Notamacropus eugenii: one gene and its partner. The protein of the gene in region 2 interacts with the protein of the main gene of each other region in a biochemical or structural test. Links are inferred from orthologs where the notes say so. Each region holds a gene or a part of one and is shown on either strand. Other genes may lie near its edges.

Region 1 (7,985 bases), on a different chromosome or scaffold from region 2:
CTCTTCTTACTCACAAGAGAGAACTAGATGCTGACATAAAAACAAATAGGAATATTTCAGGGCAGTAACTGTTCCAACTTGGAATTTGGGTCCCCAGTCTAGATTTTAGATTTAAAAGTATTTAAAGAAAGGGTGAATATGATCTTGTGATCTAAAATTCCATGTGGTCTAACAGTCAGCCCAAGAGGGATGGAAAGTTCTCAAGAATGAAATGCTGACCACTCAGAAAGAGAAGCCTTCCAGTGATGAGTTTAGACAAAAGCGATTTATCTAAAAAGAATAATTTGACTGCAGAGGGAGCTCATTAAACAGCTGGGATTTTTAAAAGACACGTGCAGAATATAGAAGCAATGGCAGCAAACAGATTTATAGAAACAGAGGAGTCATCCTGTAAGGACAGGTCAGGAATACTGATTCTCAGAATGAGCTGAGGTTGGTGAGGGATGCTTCGGATGGTGAAAAGATTGTTTTAAAGCTGTAATAATAGCTCCTTATTAAATATAGCTCTTTAAGGTTTGCAAAACACTTTACCTATATAATCTAGCTTCAGCCTCATGATATCCTTAGTGGGGTAGGTGCTACTATGATACTCACTTGGCAGCTTAGGAAATTGATGCAGACAGAGTTTAAGTGACTTGCCCAAGGTTACACAACTAGCAAGTGGCTGAGACTTGAACTCAAGTCTTCTTGATTCTGGGCCCAGCACCTACCTACTGTACCCCCTTGTTGTGGGAAATTGCAACCTCAAGGTCATATGTGGCCCTCTGGGTCCTCAAGTGCAGCCCTTTGACAGAATTCAAACTTCACAGAACAAATCCCCTTAATAAAAGGATTTATTTCATAAAATTTGGACTCAGTCTAAAGGCTGCACCCGAGGACCTAGAGAACCACATGTACCCTCCAGGTTGCAGGTTCTCCACCTCTGATATAGACCTAGTGTCCATTATATACATGAATCCCTCATGCAACTTCTGTTTGAATACGTCCAGTATTGGGGATCTCACCCCCACTGGGGACACCCTGTCCTACTTGATTTGGAAGGGACCACACTTAGCCTAGCCCCATCTTCAGAAGTCAACTGAATATCAACTAAGATATTCCTTGTACTTTGAAAGTACTTAAGGCACTATGTAAACACCAGCTATTGTTATTATTATCATAATATGTTGTATGTTTTGGGCTTCCTTGCACCTCACGATACTGTGCTTTATGCTCCAAGGTCTTTTCTTGATTGAAGATTCTATGTTTCCATTCTAACACACCGTACAGCTCTGATTTCTTTGTTCTAAGGATCTTTCCTGTACCCTGAGTTCTAAGGCTCTTCCACCTTTGACGTTCTATGCTTCTGGCTCAAAAATTCCATGTTCTGTGTTCTAAGACCCCTTCCAGCTTTGAGGTTTCTCTATTTGAGCTTCTAAGGGCCCTTTCATCTCTAGCATTCTATGTTCTAAATTTTCTTCTTTCCTCTTTCCTAAGGTCCCTTCTTCTATGTCTGCTATTCCACATTCTGTCTCCTTTCCCATTTTAAAAGTCTATGCTTCATGTTTCTTATTCTAGCAGTTCCTCAATCTCTAACATAGGGTATTTCAATAGACTCGTCTTAGACTTTTGAAACACCCTGGCTTCTACATTCTAATGTCCCTTCTAGTTCTAACATTCTAGGTTCTAGGCTCCAAGATGCTTCCTGCTTTGATATTCTGTGTTCTATGTTCACCACTGCCTTCCTGTTCTGAAATGCCATGTTCCTATCTTCTGATATTCCTTTCATTCTAACCTTCCAGGTTTGAAGGTTCTTCTTGTCTCACATTTTGTGCTTTATATTCTAAGGTTCCTCTCAGCCCTGACCTACTATTTTCTGTTCTCTGAGGTCCCTTCCATTTCCAGCATTCTAGGTTCTGTGTTATCAGACTTCTTCTAGCTCTGACAGTCTGTATTCTATACACCTCCCAGTTCTAATATTCTATATTTTATGTCCTGAGCTCCTTAGTCCAGTAGCTAGCTCATAGTAGGTATTTAATAAATGTTCCATCATCTATCTGCCTACCTACCTAGTTATCCATGCATTCATTCATCCATCCATCCATCCATCCCTCTCTCTCTCTCTCTTTCTGTCTTCTAACTCTACCATTCCATGTTCTAAAGCATCTGCTAGCTCTGTGATCTATAACTAATCCCCCTCTAAGAAGTACCTCAAGTGATAATATTTGTATGAATGAATGAATGACTGTTCCTCCTTGCCCTAGAAGAAGAACCCTAAGGTTGAAATTTCCCTGTGTCTTCTGCTGTCTCTCACCCAGCACCCATAACCTTTATCTCTCCAGTGCTAGACAGACAGGCAGACAGGTAGGCAGGTGGACAAACAGGCAGGCAAGACTTACTCCCGTGGATGAAGAGCAGCAGCAGGAGGAGGAGAGTGCCGTGAAGGGGGGACGCCATGCTCAACATAGGCAGGGAGACGTCTGCAGCAGCCTTGGGGTCTTTGTGGGGCCTCTTTCCCAATCTCTCCACTTATAGTTCCTGATGGAGAGTTCGTTGTAATTACCCCACAGGCCCCAGGGGCTGGTTGGGGGCTGTTACTTCCCCTATTTTCCCCTATGGGGGCAGGAGAAAGAGACCCAGGACCCTGAGGAATGGGGCAATAACGAGATGTGGGATATAGGAACCTCCGCAGCAGTGGCAGCCTTCTATCTACCCTCCTACAACAGGTCAGAAAGAGAGAGGGCAGAAGAGAAGGATGAATCAGCTGGAGCAGACCTGGGAGTTGTAATTTCAGCTCCAAGAGGCTTATGATCTCAAAAGATCATCACTTGGAGGCCTCCTCAGGATCCTCAAATCTCAGCACTCCAAGTGACTTCAGCGGTGAGACCATCTCCCAGCCTGATCCAGACTGTCCTATCTAATATCCCCAGAGGTCATTCAACTCTTACCAGGGAACTCATGGCCCCAGCAGCCCCAGGGCCCCTCGGGAGCTGGCAGGAAGTCAAAGTCCAGTTCCCCTTCCAAACTCCTCCAAAGATGCTCCATTTCCAACTGTCTCTGTCAGTGATGCAAGAGCAAACGGTGGCTGGGGGTGGGGGGTGTTAGGGAAGGGGGAATTGGGGAAGGAAGGGGGAGGCAATCTTGCCAAGTTTTCAGCCTGACCGGAAGGGGTCAGGCCTATTGCAGGAAGCAGCCTGACTGCTCATTTGTCTAGGCTGGGCCAATTCAGCTTGGCTTCATGGGCCCACACAATTATCTCCAGGATACCAGGATTTCCAAATGTCATTTCTATTTAGCATTGGGATACAGCTAGACCCCCATGTTCACAGATTCAAAGACACAAAAACACGCACACAGAGGCTCACATACAGAGACACATGTAGATTTATGCTTGCATAAACATATGGAGGTATGCTCATTCTCAGACATGCACATGTTCACTCAAGGTTAGACACACAGGTACACACAAATCTACCCAATTATGTATTTAGATAAGCATTGTCCCATGCAAGGAAGTAGCCACAAACTCACAGAGAGCAGTTTCTCTGAAAACAATCTGAGGATCTTAGCAGACCTCAAGCCACAGCACTGGACTGCAAGTGGACTCCAGTAGGAGTGAACAAGGTGACATGGTAGCCCAAAAGCTGGTGCCATTTTGAACTGTAGTAAGAGAAGCATAGCCTGCCCCCAAAGTTACTAAACTGTGCATGTCCTTTGACCCAGTGATGTACTGCTGGGCCTGTACTCTAAAAGATCAAAGAAAGGGGAAAAGGATTCATATGTATCAAAATATTTATAGAAGCTCTTTTCTGGCAAAGAGCAGGAAACTAAAGGGGTCTTGGAGTTATTTACCATTTGGGGAGTGTTTGTACAATTTATGCTGTATGACTATAATGGAAGATGATTCCACCGAAATAAAAGATGAGGCAGAGGGTTTCAGAGAAGCCTGGGAATTCATATGGACAGATGCAGAGGGAACTGAGCATAACCAGGAGAACCACTGATACTCTAACATCAACAATGTAAAAACAGCAACTCTGAAAGGCCTAAGAATTCTTATCAACAACTTTGATGGACCTAGCTCTTCTCAGAAATGCAAGGATCAAAGAATAACTCCAAAAGACTCATGATGGAATATGATATCCACATCTAGAGAAAGAACCATGGAGTCGGAATGCAGGTGGAAGCAGACTATTTGACCTCTCTCTCTTTTTTTTGTTTTGTTTTCTCTTTCTCATGATTCCTCCTAATTCTTCTTTACAACATGACTAACGTGAAAATTGTTGTTGTGTTTGTCCTTCATTGCCAAAGAAGACCATGCCATCAGAGAAATAATGACGTGACTTTGACTTGACTTTGTTTTGAGTGAAGGAGGGCTGTGCAGGTCACCAACATCACTTCTCCTCCAGAGCCATCTGAATCCAGAGACCTGATATTTCTCAGGATGACTGGAGATGACCCAGGGTACACTGGGAGACTTTGGGTCCTTTAAGAATGTATATGTAGAGTCTATATTAGATTGTACTCTGTCTTGAGGAGGGAGGCAGAGAAAATTTAAAACTCAAAAGTATATGGAAGTAAATGTTGAAAATTAAAAATAAATAAACATATAAATAAAGAGGAAAAAAAGAATTCTGATCAACACCATGATCAACCATAATCCAGAAGACTGATGGATGCTGAAGAATGTGACCCATCTCCTGAAAGAAAGATCATGGACTGAAGACACAGGAGAAGAAACACTTTGGGGGCATGGCCCAGATGGGGATGATTGTTGTTGAGGGTTATTTTCTTCTTCTTCCGGTGAATGGGAGGTAGAGATAGGGAGACCAAAAAAATGCTAGATAAATTTAAAAAAAGAGAAAGAAAAGGCCAGTTCTGGTATCCGGGAAGTGATTGTCTCTCCCTGTCCTGGTCAGACCACATCTGGAGACTATGACTGATGGTGGATACCACATTTTAGGAAGGACACGGATAAACTGATAAAGGTCCAGAGGAAGGTAGGCAGGTTAGTGAAGAGCCTTAACATGGCGCCAGATGAGGACCAGTTGAAGGAAGTGGAGTCATTTATTCTGAAAAAGGCTAGGGAGTGGGTGGGCATTCTAGTAGGGTCTGCTTGAATTTGAAAGGTCAAGTAGAACAAATGTATTCCCTCTTCCACAGACATGCCCTGTTTTACTTTTCTCCCTGTTTTTATTCTTGATTAAAAGAAGTGACTTAATAGGGGAAAGTGTATATTCAGAAATAAAGGTAATGCAAAATCAAAAGATATCAATAAATTAAAAACATTAACTGGGACATGCTGGAGAAAGAGCAGTCAAATGCCATCTATTTGTGGAGGACATTGGACAAGGGATACAGGAAGTCAGAGGAGGAACTGGCTATGGCCTTCACTGAAATAGGCAAGAAAGGGAACTAATTTGGAGTCAGAAGACCTGAATTTAAATCCTAATTCTGTCACTTGACTTTAGCTGCGTAACTTTGGCCGAGTCCCTTGCCCATTCTGGATCTCAATTTCCTCATCCATAAAATGAGGTATTGGACATGGTAATGTTATGAGAGCCCCTTCAGGTACAGGTTGGACTACTGCTGGATGTCCTTTGAGGTTCCTTCCAGTTCTCTGATTCTGTGTGATTCTGTGATCATAAGATCAGTTTGGTAGCACAGAGAGAATTGGGGCAGGTGGGGGGTGTAGGATTAGTATCATTAGAATCATGAGGTTATTGGTAAATTTTACATTAAAGGAATGACGAGTCCCATTGGACCAGAAGGTGGGCAAGGGGAGAGGTAAGGTTGGCATGTGGATGATATGGAACTGGGCCCAGACCTTGGCCTTTGTGAAGCTCTGGAGATCCCATGTGAATGGAGAGGAGAAAAGTGTGATGGGCTGCATGAGTCCTTGAGGCCTGCAGACCTTCAGAATAATGTCATGTAGGAGCATGTGCAGAGCACTTGGAACTCCCAGTACTGTCTGTAGGGAGAAGGCCAACAGAGCGCTTTACACTTTGTGAAAAACTGTACAGTCACATAGACGCCTCACTGTAGAGTTTCTCAAAAAGTTTAAAATCTTCCCTGAGCCCTCCCTCCACACCCCCTAGACATTATATATAAAATACAATTTTATATTACATAATATATAACGTGTGTGTCTCACTGTAATAAAATCCTAAAAAAATAAAATCCTCCCTTCCTCCCCCAGACATTATATGTAATGTAATAATGTATTATATCACATATACTCATAATATAATATTTATGTGTCTGTCTTACTATTCAGTTTCTTACAAGGTGTAAAACCCTCCCTTAGCTCTCTCCCCTCACTCCCAGACAGTTAGTCCTGGCAGGCCCAAGTGCTCTGTCCAAGCTCCTACCTGACATTGGGGGAATATATAAGGTCAAATAAATGTCCTGAATCCCAACTGATTCTCTCTTTGAAATGGTCTCCATTTACTCAGAAACCTCACCTCCCTGCAGTATCCTTGCTTAGACTGAGAGAGAATGAAGAGACAGAGCTCTGGGTGTCAGAGATAGACTGGGCCTCAGAGATTACAGTCCCATCTCATCATTTTACGGATGCAACTGAGAGATGGGTTTGTCTTGGATTACACAGTGACTCATTTGTCAAAATGGGGTGTGAATCCAGGCAGGTCTCTTGACTCCTAAACAAGGGCTTTTGTGTTGAGGTTTGTTGCCTGCTTGCCTGCCTGTCTGCCTGACTGACCAGAAAAAAGTGGATGGGGCCAGCCTCTGGTTGGAACGAGTTGGGTGGGTAAGGCCAGATCTTGGAATGCTTAGTGGAGATGGATGTTGACTGTCCCCTCCTCTTTGTGAGTCCAAGTACTACATCTTAGAGTATGCTGCTACAGAACCAGAGGGCTCCATCACTCCTAGCCTGGCCCAGACTTGTTCCTGAGGGAAAGGGACCACTGTTCCCATCTCCTCTGGCCACCTGTGACCAGCTTAATGCCTCCAGAACCTTGTCCCCAGTTCCCTGAAGGACTTCAGTGCCTTCCTATGCCCTTGGGAATGCCAAGCAGTCTCCATGGTAAGGGTCTGGATACCTTTGAGTTTACTGAAACCATAGTCTAGGGCTAGATGGGGGAGAGGGCTGTGATCAGAATTGGGCCTGTCCCTCCACCCCCACCCCCTTATACCAGGTTTTCAGGAAGCTTAGATCCTGATACACCCTACGGAGGCTTTGAGGGGGGCAGGCAAATGGCTTTTCAAATAATGACCCCATTGGCTTAGAGGCCATGGAGTGCAACCTCCTCATTTTGCAGAGGAGGAAACTGAGGCACAGAGAACCTGCTTGCCCAGAGTCACATAGCCAGTTAGTGTGGGAGATGGTATTTGAACTTAGGTCTTCCTGACTTGGATGGAGTGTCCTATCCACTGTGTTATTTAGCTGCTGGAAGGTGAGTTGTGGATGTTTCTTTACCTGCTCCCAAGGGGAAGATCTGAGGGGTGGGCAGAGGAATTCATCTGAGGCCCTCAAAGTGTTTGAGGTGGAACATGTCCTCAGGCTCAGATAAAGAACCTGGGCTGACTGAGGTGGAATCATTATCACCAAAAAGGGGAGCATTCTGAAGACTAATAAATAGCCATCATCTTCATCTTCCTAGTGGGCCTTCCCTTACTTTACCCTCCCATAGACACGGCGGATGGGTCAAGTTTTGAGGGGGTTGGTTATAATGATGACTCGCATCTCTATAGAACTTCCAAGGTTTACAAAATGCTTTCCATACATAGTCTTATCAGATCCTCACAACAACCCTGTGAGGTGGGCGCTATCATTACCCACATTTGACAGATGAGAGAAACTGAGACTCAAAGTGGTGTGACTTGCCCAAGGTCATACAAACTACTAGTAAGTGTCACAGGTGAGATTTGAACCCAGGTCTTTCCTGACTCCAAGCTCAGCTCTTTAGTGACCACACCCTGCCTTGTGAAAGTTGAAGCCTCTGTGTACATCCTCCACCTCTCGGGTCTCTCATCCCAGGAGTAGA
Region 2 (7,156 bases):
GGCACCCCCAGAACTTAGCATAGTGCTGGGCACATGCTGTGCTCAATGCATGCTTGTTAATTAACAAGTCTGAGACTTCTCCTCTCCCTCCTCCCACCTCCAACGGGCACAGACTCCATTCCTAGGAAAATCCAGTAACACACACATCTTCATTTCTTTCAGCTTAGTCACTGGATTTTCTAACTTGTCAGTCCACATTAATATTTTGAGGATTTACTATCGGCTCAATATTGAGCATACAGCCTGGACCTTGCTGGGTGAACCCAAGTGATTTAATCCCATTCAGTGGGTGGGTGAGGTTCACCTTCCTTTATGGGTGGAGCTCTGGGACCCAATGGCTCCCACAGCACCTGGCACCATCACCACTTGACTGCTTGGGAGGTCGGGGTCTCCACTCACCTGCTGGAAGTCCCTCATCTAAAACGGCCACACAGCATCAGTTCCTTAAGGAAGGGTACCCCATCCTTTTCTTATAGAGGCTGAACTCAGTAAGGTAAGTAGTTTCCTTGTGAAGCTGGCTATTTGCATCTGATACAGACGGGCCTGCTTCCTTCCTGCCCCTCCTACTATACCCCCAGACCCCATATCAACAGCCTTACTCCATTTCATGGCTCTTCCAAAGTGTTTATTGTCATATTTACATCTATTGCAAATAGTGGATGGGAGGCTGGGATCAAGAGGCATCCCTGCTCCCCCACCCCAGGTTCTGGGAATGCTGCCCCATGAGATATTTCTGGGACCTAAGGGAACCTTTTCCCCAGTCTGACACAGGGTCCTGTGGGGCAAGGGTTTTCAGAAGCTGCCGCCCCAGCTCAAGGCACAAAATGCTCGGGGGAGACGGGAGGAGAGGGATTTCCCATCTAGCCCCTTTGGGGATGGGAGTTGAATAGAAGGATCCACCAGCTATGTGCAAAGCCAAGCCTGGCTCCACTCTGCTCTTACCTCATGTCTTTTCTCTTCCCCTATATTGGTCCTAAACCAGATAGGAAAGGGACAGAATGGAGGCTCTGGGACAGAACAACTGTCATCCTGAGCCTGCCCCAGGCCAGACCCTACCTATGGCCTGAAGCCCTCAGGAGTGGTCAGTGGTCAGTACCAGCACCACTGACATCCTCCTCACTCCTTAACCCCCTACTCTGCCTTTCCTCCTGGGGTACACAGAGCGGCAGAAACCTTTCCCAGTGAGGGAAGGGGTGAAGACACAGGAGTCATGATCTGCTAGGGCCATCACCACCCCTCTCCTTCAGGAGCAGAGGGGTACCCCATCTGCAGCACCAACCTCACCAGGAGGTAGCCAAAGCCTTGTAGTGGCAGATACAGCTAAAGAGTAGCCTCTGTGTCCTCCAAACTCAGCCTCAGGGTGGGAGAGGGGGCCAGGAAAGTCAGCCAGCCAACACCCAAGGCACAAGTCAAGGCTTCTCTGAGGCTCCCTGGTCTCCTCTATTCCCAGTAGACCAATGGCCTAGAGCGTTTAAGTCCAGGATGGGATCATCCATATGGCAACAGGCCCAGGGCAGGGCTTCAGGAGGTTTAGTAGGGGTGCATGAGGGGATAAGTCTTGGGCTTTGGAATCTGGGGTTTCCCTCTTTGGTGTTAGGCACAGATGGTATGGAGCCCTAGGGCCCTTCGCCCAACTGGGACATGCCTTGGAAGCCCAAACACCATGCTTGCAGATGAGTTTTGAAACAGATGGGCGAAGTCACCAAACTGGGAGAAAGGAATCTGGGGCCATGTGTGCTGACCCTGAGCACATTCCTCAGCCTGTGTCTGCTATGTCCCTCGTCTATGCCAGGAGTCGGACAGCCCCGTTGTCTGAGCCCAGTAAAAGGTGACGCTTGGTAGGTAACACGGCCAGGCTAGTGAGTGTCCCCCGGAAGTTCTCTGAGCTGAGCTTGGTGGTGGCCTGGGAGGGGGGCTCTGTCAAGGAGCAGACACCAATCTTGTTGGCCACGGTGCCCGTCACCACCTCGCTGCCATAGAGGTCGAACGTGTGAATGGGATCTGAGGGGGACTTGTAGTGGTGGGTGGGCTTCTGTTCCAGTTCTTTCCAGATGGTCAGGGAGTGGTCTGAGGATGAGCTGATCAGGGTGCCCCCTTCCACAGCCTGCCCCAGAGAGAGAGGGAGGCCATAGCAATTAGCCAGGAACTGAGGGGGGTTCCCCTTCCTCTCACAAGCTGAGCCACAAAACTACTCCTCAGAATCCATTCTGCAGGGACAGATTTGATGGGATCATCATCACTGTTCCTGGTAGTCCCTAGGACTGCCACAGAAGCCTGAGGATGCTCAGAGACTCTTGGCTGAGTGGCCCTTTTCTGAGCTCAGCAAACTGTGTATCATGAGGGTAGAGAAAGGGTATTCCCTCATACCTGACTCCCCCAGGGGCTTCCTCCTCAGCAGCACTCTAGAGCTGGGCATGAAGACAGGAGTTGGGGGTCCTCCCTCATGGGCCTGCACCACCCCCACTCCCCCTGGTCACCAAGGGAGAGTCAGGGGGAGGAGAAGAGTCTGGACTCTGCTCAGCCATGCGGGGGCAGTAAACAGGCCTCCCTGATCTTTACTGAACCTCAACTAGGTCAAGGACAGAGAGACTGACCCCTGCCCCTTGGGGCCAGGCAAATATGGACAAGGGTTACTCATTAGAACAGGGCCCCAGGGGGGCAGAAGTGACACCTCTTCTCTCCCTCCCCCCCAGAGCCCCTGCCACATGGAGGGTCCCACTGTCAAGTCCCAAAGATATGAGGGATGCTGAAGCTGGAAGTGCAACAGCAAAATGCGAGGGGACATTGGCTCAGTCTCAGTCAACTCTCAGGGTCTTGAACTCCAAGAAACGGAGACAGGGGTGGGGGTGGGTAAGAAGGAAGCCAGCTCAGGTCTGTCCCATCTACCTTCTGGCCAAATAGCCAGAGCTGCAGGCATAAGATGTCCAGGCTGCGCCCAATCTGTGAGAGGGAAGGAAGGAGGGAGACCTTACCTTGATCTGCAGGATGTCACCCTCATGAGCCGGCCACCCTCGAAGGACAAGTCCAGTCCTGGTGTCCAAGAGTACCATGAAGCCCGAGGAGAAGCCTGCTACGACACTTCGGCCACTGGGGCTAACGGCCAATGATCGGACAAGGCCAGCATTCAAGCCACCCCCTAGACGGAACTCGTGCTATAGGACCAGAGACAAGGACTGAGAGATGGCCTGGACACCTCTGGGCCTTCCCATGGCCCTCTCCATGTTTCACTCCCAAAGAACCCTCGGGGCCCTGCTTTTCCTCTACCACCCCATTCCCTCAGAGGTTTCTCATCCATTTAACAAGGCCTTGTCTTCCTTGGGTAGGAGCTCCAGTGTTTCCTGAGCTGTCTCTGACTGGCTCTCTGTGGGTCCCTCCAACTACAAGCACAAAACAGGGACTGTTTCCCATTTCATTCCTGCACCCTGGCACACACCTGCAGTCCAGGCTTCCGACAGTCCACAAAACGCAGGGTGGAATCCGCACTAGCCAGGGTGATGCTGGTGTGGGGGGCAGGCATGACAGCCACCGCAGTCCAAGGCACCCGATTATCCCAGGGCTCCACTATCCGCACAGTCTTCCCTGTGAGGGTAAAAGCACCAAGTCAGGGGGTCCAGGAGGGAATGGTCAAAGCCCTCTGTCTGACGTTACAAGAGAAGCTCTGACCACCCAACCCAGGGGTCCACTATAGCTTCCTGTTACTCCCCATGGATAGCTTTCAGGGCCTGCTAAAGATACTTCCCAAGGTCAAGATCCTGCCTAGGAGCTTTAGACCCCTCCCCTAAACAGGCACACTGCCTCCTGATTCTCTTACCCCCCTCAGGCCTGGCCCAAGCCTGTTCCCTATCCCTACTTCATCTACACCCCTGACCCATGCCCACCCCCATCCCTCTCCCACCCATAGCCAACACCTAGCCCCACACTTCCTACTACTAAGCCCACAGGCTAACCCACTTCCCTTTTCCTCCCCTCACCCCATAACCATCTCTCTCTCCCCCCACCTCCTTCTCCAAATTAATCTTCTCTGCAGCCCAGTCACGAGAGGTCAGCAGTGGGCTGGAGAGAAGCAGCATGAAGGTAAACCGTTTTCTCCTCTGTCAGGCCAGGCTCTCATCTTATCCCTAGGTCCTGGCCCGCGTGGCCTGCCTCCCCATCACATAGCACAGGGGAGGCCTCACCTGTGAACGGGTCCCAGACGTGGACGGTGCCATCACAGCTCACGACCTGCTGAGATGCCTCCAACTGGCTGACGTGGAAGATGCTCTTGCGATGGTGGGTATAGATGAGGCGAGGCGCTGTCTCACTGGTGCCATCGCCACAGTTGTAGAGTGGCCAAAGCCGGACGGTCCTGTCTTTGCTACCGCTCAGGAAGAAGTCCTCACTGCTCAGTGGGGCCACACATTTCACAGCCCCTGAGTGGCCCAGAAAGCTCTGCAGCCTGATTTGGTGGAAGTGGAAGTGGGCATCATGTTGGCTGACACCAATCTCATACTGCCAGTAGGCCAACCAGTTCCCACTCAATCCATGGGGACATCGAGGCAGATCCCGCTTCAGTGAATTCTCCTCCCCACCCATCTCGCAGAGGCCCCCGAGACAGCCAGACACTCCTGAGCTGGGGCCCAGGGGACCTGGACTCTCAGGCTGGGTGTCTACAGGAATCTGGATACGGTTCCCGACCAGCACGCTCCCAAAAGTGCCCGAGTTGCCGTCATCATGGTTCACTCCCCTGCCTTGAGGGTCCTGCTCTGCTGAGGTACTAGGCATGGGTGCCAAGTTCATAGGGTCCTGCCCCACCGGGCTGGCACTCTCCAAATACTGCCCTGCCAGCTGTCCCACGAGAACATGGTTGGGGACGATCTTCTGGATGACATCGCCTAGACATGGGTGGGAAGAGCTCAGGCCCAGAGAAGGAAGGCTGTCCCTGCCAAGGCCCCAAAGTCCAAACAAAGAAGGGATTGGTGGACAACACTGATAGCGCTTCAGGCTGTGGAACTGCCCTCCCGAGCCCAGAAGGGGGGCACTTAACATTTGGCACCCTTGAGACACTGACAGCAGAGCCCCTCGGGACAGTTAATGGGCCAGACCCTAGGGACAGGAATCCAGCGATGGAGACTAGAAGCAACCTTAAAGACAACCAAGTCCAACCCCTCATTTGACTGGCAGGGAGACCAAATCCCCAGAGTGGAAGTGACTTGCCCAAGGTCACACCACTTGTCAAAGGCATATCACAGTCCACTGTTCTTTTCCCTTTGCAGGGCAAGACCCTCTAGGATGCCACATGGCCTAAAATGAGAAAGGGGAGCCTGGAGGAAGCATCATGGGCATGTCCTCCAAGAAAGCAGAAGGGAATACAAGGCTGGAAACAAGGCACAGGAACAGAGAGGAAAACAAAGATGGGGTCAAGGGGAGGGAGGGCGAACAAGGAGCAAAGGGATGAGGTGGGAAGGCTTGGGTCCAGGGAGGTTGAGCGGGGTGGCTCCTACCCAGCAGGCAGGAGAAGGGCACGTAGGTCATGTAAGCCATCTCGAGAGTGAACACCTTCTGAAGCTCATCCAGCAAGGCCAGGTCGACAGCCCGCCGCTGCCCATCCAAGAAGGGTACCTCCAGTACACGGCCCTCACTCAGACTTGGAGTCTCTGGCCTCAGTGCCTAGCAGAAAAAGACAAGCCCAGGCTTGTGCCTCTTCACTGGCCTGGCAGGGTCAGCCCCATACCCTCCATGCCACCCTACCACACCCACCTGGCACTGAAGCTCGTGCACCAGGGAGAACACCTGGAAGAAGGTGGCTACTGTCTCACTGAGGTGCTGCTGGACCATCTCCTGCCCAATGCGCAGGCAGATCAGAGCGATCAGGCTAATGGTCTTCAAGCACAAAACGGTCCGGGCCTGGGCCCCCCCAGGGAACCTGAAGGCAACACGTTTAGACTGTGCTCTGTCTCTTCCCTACTGCCCAATCCTGACCCTCCCTGGGGCCCTGGGGAGCATTAGGGAGAGAAGCAGAACTAATCCAGGTCACGGTCTCTCAGACTCCCCTTGGAGGGGCCGTGAATCCAGGGGTCCACGAACATGGATGGGAAAAAAATTACATCTTTATTTCCACTAAAACTTTGGTTTCCTTTCTAAATCTGTGAACTTTATCTTACACATTTAAAAATGTTCTGAGGAGGGGGTCCCAAGGCCTCACCAAAAAAGGTTCAAGACCCAAAAAGGACCCAATTCAATCCCCTCATTTTAAAGATGAAACTGAGACCCACAGAGGGGATGTGATTTCCTGAAGCTCACACAGCTAGTTAGCTGCAAAAGCAGGGCTAGAATGAGGCCCAGTGGGCTCAGCTCAAAGCCCCTCTCTGGCTGTGTCCCCAGGCTGCCCCTTGGAGGGATTGGCCTACCCTGTGATGAGGGAGGTCAGGGAGTTGAGCACAGGCAGGAGGACCTCGTGGCTGATGCGGGGCAGGATGTCCATGAGTGTGGTGTCACAGAGATACACAATGATCTTCTGTGTCAGGGTGACGGCTGCCAGTAGCCCTGCCTCCTTCCGGCTATTTAGGCGGCTGGGACTTCCCCCCATTCCAGGAGCCACCTTGGACCAAGGAAGGGAAAAGAGGCTAAGTCACTCTGAACTCTGCCCAGAGAGATGGTCCCAAAGACCTCTGCCTGCTCATGGGCCCTGAGAAAGAAGCTCTGTTCATCTTCCCACCCCACCCCCATCTGGTGCCATCTCACAGCCCCAGCCCTGTCCCAGTTAAATGAGGCCCCAGGGATGTGTGGGAAAGCTCAGGACCAAGGCACTGACCAGGTAGCTGATATAGGGAAGATACTGGTAGGTGAGGACGGGCTCCCCATAGAGGCAGGCCACATGCATGAGGCAGCCCAGGACAGGGGCAGACACCACATCCCCCAGCACCGGACGCTTCTGATAGATGTTGCCCGAGTTCAAGGGGCTTGAGTTGCTGATGCTTCCCATAAACTGCTGCCTCGTGGAGCCTAGGAGAGGAAAAGGACGGACCATAACTGCTCTCAGAAGTGAGGGAGGAAATGAGTACCTCAGTGCTCAGACAGAATCACGGAATTACAGCCCTGGAAGGGCCTCAGAGAACACAGGAGATATGTGGTACCTGCCCCTTGGACACATCACATGGACCCACCCTCCCCAATCTCC

What was found.
Region 1: of the proteins of SERPINF2 (region 2) and neutrophil elastase-like, one has a biochemical effect on the other in vitro, tested with the Homo sapiens proteins (2 studies listed by BioGRID). The link is inferred for Notamacropus eugenii from reciprocal best matches to the Homo sapiens genes SERPINF2 and ELANE.

Annotation. Positions count from the first base shown.
Region 1 is NC_092875.1:60,987,509-60,995,493, reverse strand, and holds the start of neutrophil elastase-like, read right to left. Parts: upstream 3,070-7,985; 5' UTR 3,025-3,069; coding exon 2,928-3,024; exon of another isoform or gene 2,755-2,927; intron 2,518-2,754; exon of another isoform or gene 2,446-2,517; coding exon of another isoform or gene 2,379-2,445; intron 1-2,378. UniProt on the Homo sapiens protein: Serine protease that modifies the functions of natural killer cells, monocytes and granulocytes. Inhibits C5a-dependent neutrophil enzyme release and chemotaxis. Promotes cleavage of GSDMB, thereby inhibiting pyroptosis. Promotes blood coagulation.
Region 2 is NC_092873.1:39,759,177-39,766,332, reverse strand, and holds the start of SERPINF2 (alpha-2-antiplasmin), read right to left. Parts: upstream 2,999-7,156; coding exon 2,973-2,998; intron 2,105-2,972; coding exon of another isoform or gene 1,784-2,104; exon of another isoform or gene 604-1,783; intron 1-603. Other genes in the region: WDR81 (WD repeat-containing protein 81), read right to left, coding at 1,784-2,104, 2,973-3,152, 3,434-3,579, 4,176-4,871, 5,481-5,646, 5,737-5,902, 6,387-6,577, 6,791-6,981.